Rattus norvegicus: one gene and its partner. Each later gene encodes a partner of the first gene's protein in a complex. Links are inferred from orthologs where the notes say so. Each region holds a gene or a part of one and is shown in the gene's direction. Other genes may lie near its edges. The genes, in order: Pdrg1 and Asdurf.

What was found.
Region 2: Pdrg1 (region 1) and Asdurf share a complex: the UniProt entries of both Homo sapiens proteins name them as parts of the PAQosome complex. The link is inferred for Rattus norvegicus from reciprocal best matches to the Homo sapiens genes PDRG1 and ASDURF.

The regions. Positions count from the first base shown.
Region 1 is NC_086021.1:161,941,042-161,945,360, reverse strand, and holds the start of Pdrg1 (p53 and DNA damage-regulated protein 1), read left to right. Parts: upstream 1-1,379; 5' UTR 1,380-1,412; coding exon 1,413-1,499; intron 1,500-2,658; coding exon 2,659-2,734; intron 2,735-4,079; coding exon 4,080-4,154; intron 4,155-4,319. UniProt on the Homo sapiens protein: May play a role in chaperone-mediated protein folding.
Region 2 is NC_086027.1:55,617,176-55,621,739, forward strand, and holds the start of Asdurf (ASNSD1 upstream open reading frame protein), read left to right. Parts: upstream 1-1,623; 5' UTR 1,624-1,680; coding exon 1,681-1,770; intron 1,771-3,358; coding exon 3,359-3,412; intron 3,413-4,564.

The DNA.
Region 1 (4,319 bases):
AGCTGTATAACTAAACAGTCGTAATCCGGTCTCTACAAAAGTGGCCATGAAATTCAAGTGAGGCCAAGAATATGAATGGGCTAAGTTACCCAGAGTCAAAAAAGGAGACTAAAAAATGGATGTCAGAGTTGAGTCTTAGGGCTGGGGAGGTGGCTTAGTGAGTGAGGAGTGTTCACTTTACACTCAGAATGAGGATCTGAGTTTGAATCCCAAACACCTACAGAAAAATCCAGACATGGTTGTGTGGGCCTGTCACTTCAGCATTGGGGAGCAAACAGCCACAGGCAGATCCAGAGAGCCCCAAGTCTAGGCTGCCTAACCCAAAAGAGCTTCCGTTTCAACGAGAGGCTCTATTTCATGACAATAAGGTGGAGAATGTCAAAGGAAGACACCTGTCACCCTGCTCTGGCCTCTGCTTGTCTCTGCAGGGGCACAGAGTACCCTTATATGCATGCACCACACACATACACTCACACAAAAGAAAACAGATGAGATATAGCTCAGGTGTAGCGCTTGAGAGGCACTGGGGTAATTCCAGTTCCACACACGGAAAAACAAGAGGATGGGTGAGGTAGCCCGCCTCTAAGCCTCCAGCTTTGCAAATGTACAGTAAGAGATTGGGGGACCCCTCTGGTTCTGTCGGGCAGTCATCACCCTCCCACCCCCACCCCCCGGAAGTCCAGGATCCTAATTCACTCTTCAGATCTTACTGACACTTCATTGCTCACCCTGGACAGTTTCCAGCTCCTTCTGTGAATCTTGGCTTGCTACTGTGGACATTAGATTCAACAAACGCTGCAACCAGATGTAATTTAAAATGATTTCTGCTTCCTTTCTGTCTTCCGTGGTGGTGGGGGCGGGGGGGGGAGACAGGAAAGACAGAGACAGAGACAGAGAGACAGAGAGAGTCAGTGCGGGGAATTTCTATACCCATTATTTACAAACTGGAAGCTGAAAGTGTCGCGGGTTAAAATATGAGTCTCTTTGCCACACTCAGTTTCTTGGCGATGTTAAACTGGACTTTATGATCTCTGTGTCTCCAAAGCCATTATCGCTACCTCCCATAATGTGTAATTATTTTGCTGTCAGTGTTTGCTGTTTTCCAATGGAATGACGTTCCTAGAGCCGGGATGCTTCTTTTGCAGCCGCCTTCCCGACACCCAACCTGGTTTATGGTGGATGCCCAGGAACCCTTTGAAGGGAGGGGAAAGGGCAGTGCGTTGGGCTGCTCGATCAGAGCCTGCAGGGGGCGCATCTTCCCTGCTCCCAAAGCCTGACCCTCCCCTCTGGAGCCCAGCTGAGGCGCATGTTCTTTTCACTGCGCAGGCTTGCCGGAAGTCCCAGAACGGCGCGTGCGCGGAAGGAGCTGGGGTGAAGTAGTAGTGCGAGTGTCGGAAGAGGTCTGTGGCACCATGGTGTCCCCCGAGGCGGATCGAGTGCTGCGGTACCTGGTCGAAGTGGAGGAGCTGGCAGAGGCAGTGCTCTCAGACAAGCGGCAGGTGAGAGACGCGGCGGCCGCGAGCGCCCTACGCAAGTGCGCGGCGTCGCAGGGTGATCACCGGGCCTCCCGGCGTCACTGCTCCTAGCGGCCTGGTGCCTAGTGAGCGCCAGTCAGTTCTGTATTGGGCAGTTGCCTTCCTTTCACCCTGCCCCGTCATTGCTGGTCCCCCGGATCCCTGACACCACTTTCCAAACGCAGTCCCAGGCCCATCTTGAATCAGGTTGTTGAGACATGGGCAGGATGTGTCTGGGCAGTACACTGATGTGCGTGTGCGTGTGCGTGGGGGGCGGCGGCTTGGTTGAAGGCTTCGTAGACCCGAAAGGGGTGCTTGGCTCTGGTTCTGTGGTAAGTAGTCCCTAAAGGGAGTTCGTCCTGGGGATGTTATCATTGAATAGTGACTGATAGATTGATCGGTTGGTTTAGACTAAACTTTAGAGGATCTCATGTATCTCAGACTTCTCGAACTCACTGTGTCGCCTAAGACAGCCTTGAACAACCCGTGGTATGTCCTTGTCAGTGTCCTGAGTTCTGGGATTACAGGTGTGCATTTAGATTTTAAAAGTCTCTCTCTGGCTCCTTCCTAGAGTGCAGCGAGCCATTTAGCTGATCCAGATGATCTGGATTTAGACAAGATGGGAATGATGGGGTGAGACATATACTTGGTGGTCTTCAGAAGCTACCATAATGACCGTAATGACTCTTCGTGATCTATATTTGAAAAGGCTTGATGGTTCACTAGCTGCAGCCCCAGAAAGTCGCCTCTTGAGCAGTTAGTTGTCATAGTGGTACGGTGCAACAGCTGCTCCAGTCCAGTATGGTTGAATGTCTGGTGAGACTGTCAGAGTTACTTAACAAGAGCTTGTCAATAGTCACTGTCTAGAGGAGACACTCAACTAACTCCCTGGTGACCCCGGTATACTCTCAAGTTTGAGTGGATGATACAAAGTGGCTCAATCTGCAAACATTTTCCCACCACCTTCTGTGGAGGAGGAAAGCTCCATACAAACAGAGGAGCTGGAAACCAAGTGGGTAAAGAAGAACGTTCACACCTGAGTCGTCCATGTCAGGCAAGACATTGGAACTTCACCAGAAACGATACCTTGTTTCTTCAGATTGGGGCAGGAGGCAGCTGAGTTCCCATCTGCTCCTGTTTTCAGATTGTAGACCTGGACACCAAGAGGAATCAGAACCGAGAGGGCCTGAGGGCCCTACAGAAAGACCCGAGTGTCTCTGGTAAGTTGTGGCATCCTTACTGAAGCCCTGGAAGCTGGTTCAGGGACTTCATTATCCCTGGTAAAGACCAGCCAGGCAGGAGGCTGGGACTGTGTGACTCACCCTCATGGGGAACTAAGACAGCTTGTGGAGAAGAGCAAGCCAGTGTTGCAGGTCAGACATATGCTGTGACTCAGAATTTAGCTGCTCACTTCAGCGACAGGCCATTAGCTCATCACTCACTGACGGCAGATACAGAGAGTGCTCACGGCACATAAAAAGCAATAGTTCTGCCCTTATGTTCCACATGAGGAAAAGCAGCATAGACACATAACTGAAAATGGTGAGAGGCCATGGGTGGGTATTGAGGCCAGGTGGCTGTGGCTGGTGGTAGCAAGCAGAGGTCTGACATGAAGCAGTTCTGGAAAGGAGGGCAGCATCCAGGCCATAGTGAAGGCTGACATGTAGGGCTTCCACTGGCTTATCTCACCTGAGTGAAACCCAGAGCTGTCCTGCAGGACTCCCCATGACCCAGCCCCACACCCCTATTAGCCCTGACTCTCCTGCTCACTCACTGGTCCCTTGGTTGTTAGCCTGGCTCTGTTTTCCCACATGTCTGTAAGTGTAGTGTCCTCCCTTTCCTCAGTTCTGTGCCTGAATGTCACATCTACATAGAAGTCTCATACCAACTTTCAACACATCAGTCCTCTGACAATTCCCAGCTCTTTAAACAGCTTTTGTTGTTGTTGTTGGGTTTTTTGTCTGTCTGTTTAATTAACTGGTCCTTTTGCCACACTCTGGGCTCTTCCACCCTTCTCCCCCAACTTTTCCACCTTTTCAACCCCCAACACTAGATAAGAGAGAAAAAAGGATGAAGAAAAGAGATCCTTGAATAAAGTCAGGGGGGTTGGAAAGGGGGCACCTAGCGTTATTACACCCTCTCAAAAGCCCTCAGAATTCCAAACATCACACACTCGAAGAAACTATCTGCAGCTGGCAAAATCATGCCAGAGCATGAGGCAAACCACAGTCAGCTGCTGTGCTCAGTCTCTCTGAGCTCCCCATATCCCACACCTGGGATTATAAGGAAGACATAATTCTTACAGGATTTCTGTGTTTGTTTATTTGTTTGTTTTTAAAGAAACAAAAATGCCAAAACTGCCACTACAGGTTTCCATGCTAGTTCTTAAGCGGTGTGTGGAAAACAGCTTCGCTCACTCCCCATCTTTTGCTATGACGTGATTTCCACGAGAGCATGAACTGTCTTGTTCTGCTATGTTCTTAGCATCTGAACAGTGCCTGTCAGATGATAGGTGCTTCAAAAGGGAAAAACAAAACATGAAGAAATGTCTGTTTGCTGTTTCAGAAGACGTGATGGTTTGCTTTGGGAACATGTTCATCAAAATGCCTCACCTTAAGACGAAGGAAATGATCCAGAAAGGTAAGGTGTCCTGAAGAGGGGTCAAGGACATGGCTACCTTCCCCCCAGTCTGAATCATAATCCAGCACTGAGAACCAAAACTGTATTAGGCTGGGGAAAGGCAAAGGGCTTCTTCCATATGGGCCTTTGCTTTCTGTTTGAAAATAAGGCCACTCTCTGCCAGAA
Region 2 (4,564 bases), on another chromosome or scaffold:
AATGGAATACAGAGCTAAACAAAGAATTCTAAACTGAGGAGTATCAAATGGCTAAGAGGTAACTAAAGAAATGTTCAACATCCTTAGTCATCAGGGAAATGCAAATCAAAACAACCCTGAGATTCCACCTCACACCAGTGAGAATGGCTAAGAACAAAAACTCAGGTGACAACAGATGCTGACATGGATGTGGAGAAAGAGGAACACTCCTCCATTGTTGGTGGGTTTGCAAGCTGGTACAGCCACTCTGGAAATCAATCTGGAGGTTCCTCAGAAAATTGGAAGTAGTACTATCTTAGGACCCAGTTATACCACTCCTGGGCATATACCCAAAAGATGCTCTAACGTATAACAAGGACACATGCTCCACTATGTTCACAGTAGCCTTATTTATAATAGCCAGAAGCTGGAAAGAATCAAATAACCCTCAACAGAGGATGGATATAAAATGTGGTATATTTCTACAAAAATAATGACTTCATGAAATCCATAGGCAAATCGATGGAACTAGAAAATATCATCCCTAGTGAGGTAACCCAATCACAAAAAAAAAAACAAAAAACAAAAAAACAAAAAAAAAAAAACCACATGGTATGCACACTCACTGATAGTGGATATTAGCCAAAAATCTCGAATTACCCAAGATCCAATCCACAGACCACATGAAGCTTAAGAAGGACGACCAAACTGTGGATGCTTCAGTTCTTCTTAAAAGGGGGAGTAAAAATATTCATAGGAGGAGATATGGAGACAAAGCTTGGAACAGAGACTGAAGGAATTGCCATTCAGAACCTGCCCTACCTGAGGTTCCAGCCCATAAACATACAATATTTCTGATGCCCAGAAGTGCATGCTGACAGGAGCCTGATACAGCTGTCTCCTGAGAGGCTCAGTCAGAGCATTACAAATACACAGGCAAATGCTAGCAGCAAACCATTGAACTGAGAACGGGGTACCATTGGAGGAGTTAGAGAAAGGATTGAAGGAGGTGAAGGAGCTTGCAACCCCATAAGAACAACAATACCAACCAACCAGAGCTCCAGGGACTAAATCACCATCCAAAGACTATATACATGGACAAACCCATGGCTACAGCTGCATATGTAGCAGAGTATGGCCTTGTTGGGCACTAAGGGGAGGAAAAGTCCTTGGTCTTACCAAGGCTGGATCCTCATTGTTGGGGAATGTCAGGGTGGGGAGGTGGGAAGCGGTTGGTGGTTGGGGACGGGGAACACCTTCATAGAAGAAGGGGAAGTGGGGATGGGATACGGTGTTTATGAATGGGAAACCGGAAAGGGGAATAACATTTGAAATGTAAATAAAAATATCCAATTTAAAAAATTAAAAAAAAAAAGCCAAGACCACAGTGTTAGGCACACTACTGATTAGTGATTTATTTTTACATAGCATCCGCTAGGGGGCAACACAGACCATTCATAGACTCTCCAGCCAAGCCAGACGAACCTTTAGCCAAAACTAATGTGCGCTGATGCACAGCTACTTAAAGTCGGAGTTCCAGGATCTAGTATCCACGCCTGCTACTGAGCAGGCGTAAATATGCGCACTCCATTGGTCGAGGTTCCGGAAGGGGCAGGGTCCTGAAAGGAACACTGGCTTCCGGTTGGGCCTGCCGCCTGCTGTTTCATCCACCGCGGTTCCTCCGTTCGGTGCGGCGTGGCGATGCCTAGCGGTGCGGAGCACCCCGGAGACAGCGCCGCGCCGGGACCCACCCGCACATCGACCGCGCACGCCGAGGCCCTTAGCAGTAAGGTGCCGTGGGACGCCGAGGATGGGCGGTGGGCGGCGGGCGGCGGGAAACGGGTCCCGCGGTCGCATCGGTGCCCAGTAGCCTCACCGGTCCATTCTCAGCACCGGCCGCTGGTTTCCCCTGCGTCCTGCAGATTTGCTATGATGGAGGCACAGATTTATCCACTGCAAACAACAGTGATACTGAGACAGAGGTCTTAATGACGTTTTTCCTTTACGCGTTTGCACCACTCTCCTCTCGGAACCCTTCACACATGTGATCTGTTGCTCGTTGGCTGTGCTTCATCCATTTAGCCATGTACCCGCCTGGACGCCATCCATGACGTCCATCATGAAAGTTTAGAAATCTGCCCGTTCTTCCAGACTCAGGCAAAATTTTCTTAACCGAAGTTATCAGTTGCCTGTTGACCTTAAAATATATTCTCACCTTTAAGTGATCCTAAAAACATCAGTTTGGTCATCTCTTTATTATTCAACCAGGACTGTAGCAGATTAATTTTTTCCCTTCCTCTTTTTGGGATAGGGTTTCATAAGTAGCTCAGGCCAGCCTCAAATATTGTTTGAGGATCACCTTGAATTATTCTCTTGCCTAATAGTCAGGATTTCAGGGAGGCAACCCCATACCTGAACTGTACAGTGATCTCAACTTCCAGTTACAGACAAAAATCTTTAAACGTGTGGATTGGAGGGGGTGTGGGTGCAGCCTTTTCAGTTATTAAACATCCTGAATTCCATATTTTTTTTCTGTCCTGTATGACATCTTCAGTACATTGCCTTATTTCCAGTGTGCCACAGTATTCTGTGGTGTCACCTAAAGTGAGATATATTATATACCTGTCGTTTGTAGTGAGCATAAAAGCGCTGTACAAGCAGCCTTGAATCTCAGGGAGGGTGTACTCAATGTAGCTTTGTCGTATGTTAGTACAGCTCTTAGCACTGCCCATGCACACTCATTTGGGTGGGGATGAGTTTTCAGAATACTCTGGCTACTGCCATAGCAAGCCTCTTGGCACTGTGTAGCTGTGTCAGTGTAGACTTATTGCCTATTTGGGCATTTCATCTGATGATAAGGAACAAACTGAGCTTAAGGATACCAGCAGTATGCTGTCCTTAATACTCAAAATAGAATGATACAAGGGTGGGAGATGATGTTGTACCACTGCAGGAAGGGCGTTCGTTCAGTACCGTTCCGTTCATTTTATCCGAATGTCTGGCTGTCATCCAGTGCATACATCATAAAACCACTGGCTATTGGTAAAGAGGAGAAGCCACATTCATTTCTCTTTTTTAGTCTACAGCCAGGCCTTATAAAATTAAAAGATTGGTATTAATTTGGCTAGACAGTGTCTCACCCTGGTTAAAGATGTGAGCTGTGGTAACTGGCGCCTGGCAAGTCTAAGTCAGCTTCTTTCTCCAGCTGTCTTCTACTGGTTCCAGCCTGAGTGTGGTTGCATCTGTACAGTATCCATTTAGACAGGCAGTCCATGACAGGCCCCAGTCCCATGTTTTGTTTTAAAGCAGTTGCTAAAAATGTGCTCACTAAACATAGTTTGAAAACTTCCACTTTAGGTTTTTTTCTTTACTTTAATAGATTAAAGAACAGAAAGTTATTGTGGATGAACTTTCTAACCTGAAGAAGAATCGGGTAAGTTGCTGTGGGAATCTGAATAGTATATATATATATAATATTAAAATTATGATTTAGATTATTTATGCTAACATTGCAAAATTCAAACATCGTAATTTAAAAACTAAAGTGATATCCTCATTTGGTTTTGCATGTTTTAAATTTGTTCTTCCTGTATAAGTCAGTAGATCTCAAAGATGAAAAAATTATATTTTAACAAAAAAGAATGAAGTTTTCCATAGAAAACTTTAATATTCCAAATACTTAACCCATTTCATGGCTTTTAAATAAATGTGTTAATAAATCAGCTACAATTAACTAATAATCGACATTTCTGATATTGTCATTTGTGAAATATTAGATGCTAGGGCAAATTAATACAGAAATTTTTGGAGATCAAACTGGCAAAATGAGTAAATGCTGTATGACACTTCAGAGTAACCGGTGTGGAAGCAGTTGTGAGGATGAATGCGTGTTTACCTGCAAAGGTACTTGCCAGCATCTGTAGTGAAGAGTTGACAGAACAGTAAATGACTGAGCTTGAAGGCAGTAAAGAACTATACATTGTACCAATGTGGTGATATAAAAGAACCTTCCTTGGTCAGAAAAGATCTCCATGTATTATTCGTTTATGAACTAAATTATAAACCTGTTGCTGTGATAGCCTTTGTTATTTGAAAGACTATGGTGTGATGACACATGTGAAGCAAACAACCGTCTCTGGGTGGCATAGTGATCAGTGACTTTGTTTATCTGTGGTAATCACTCTTCTGAATATTCCTGAAGTTCAAGAGTGGGTGATAAGAGGATCCTGTTCAACATCACTGTGCAAGTCGCATTCTTCTTTTTTATTAGCATGTCATGGGTACTGCGGCCTGAAGCATGGACTTTCAGTGCAAGGACATGATTGTCATGACCCTGGGACACCACTCATGGGTGGCTAGGAATATTGGTGCTGTATGATGGAGTGAATGGACTGTGACATAGTAGGTGCTCTCATAGCACAACACAGGAGAAAGCAGAATACAGACTTCATTGCCAATGATTAAGAACCACTGTCAGTTCTGTAACCAATGCTAAGGGAGCCTTGGGAGCCTTTTCCTCTTGCAATTGAGGCAGAGCTTTCGTTCATTTCTTGAGAGCTTTGACTGCTCAGGACTATAGCCAAGC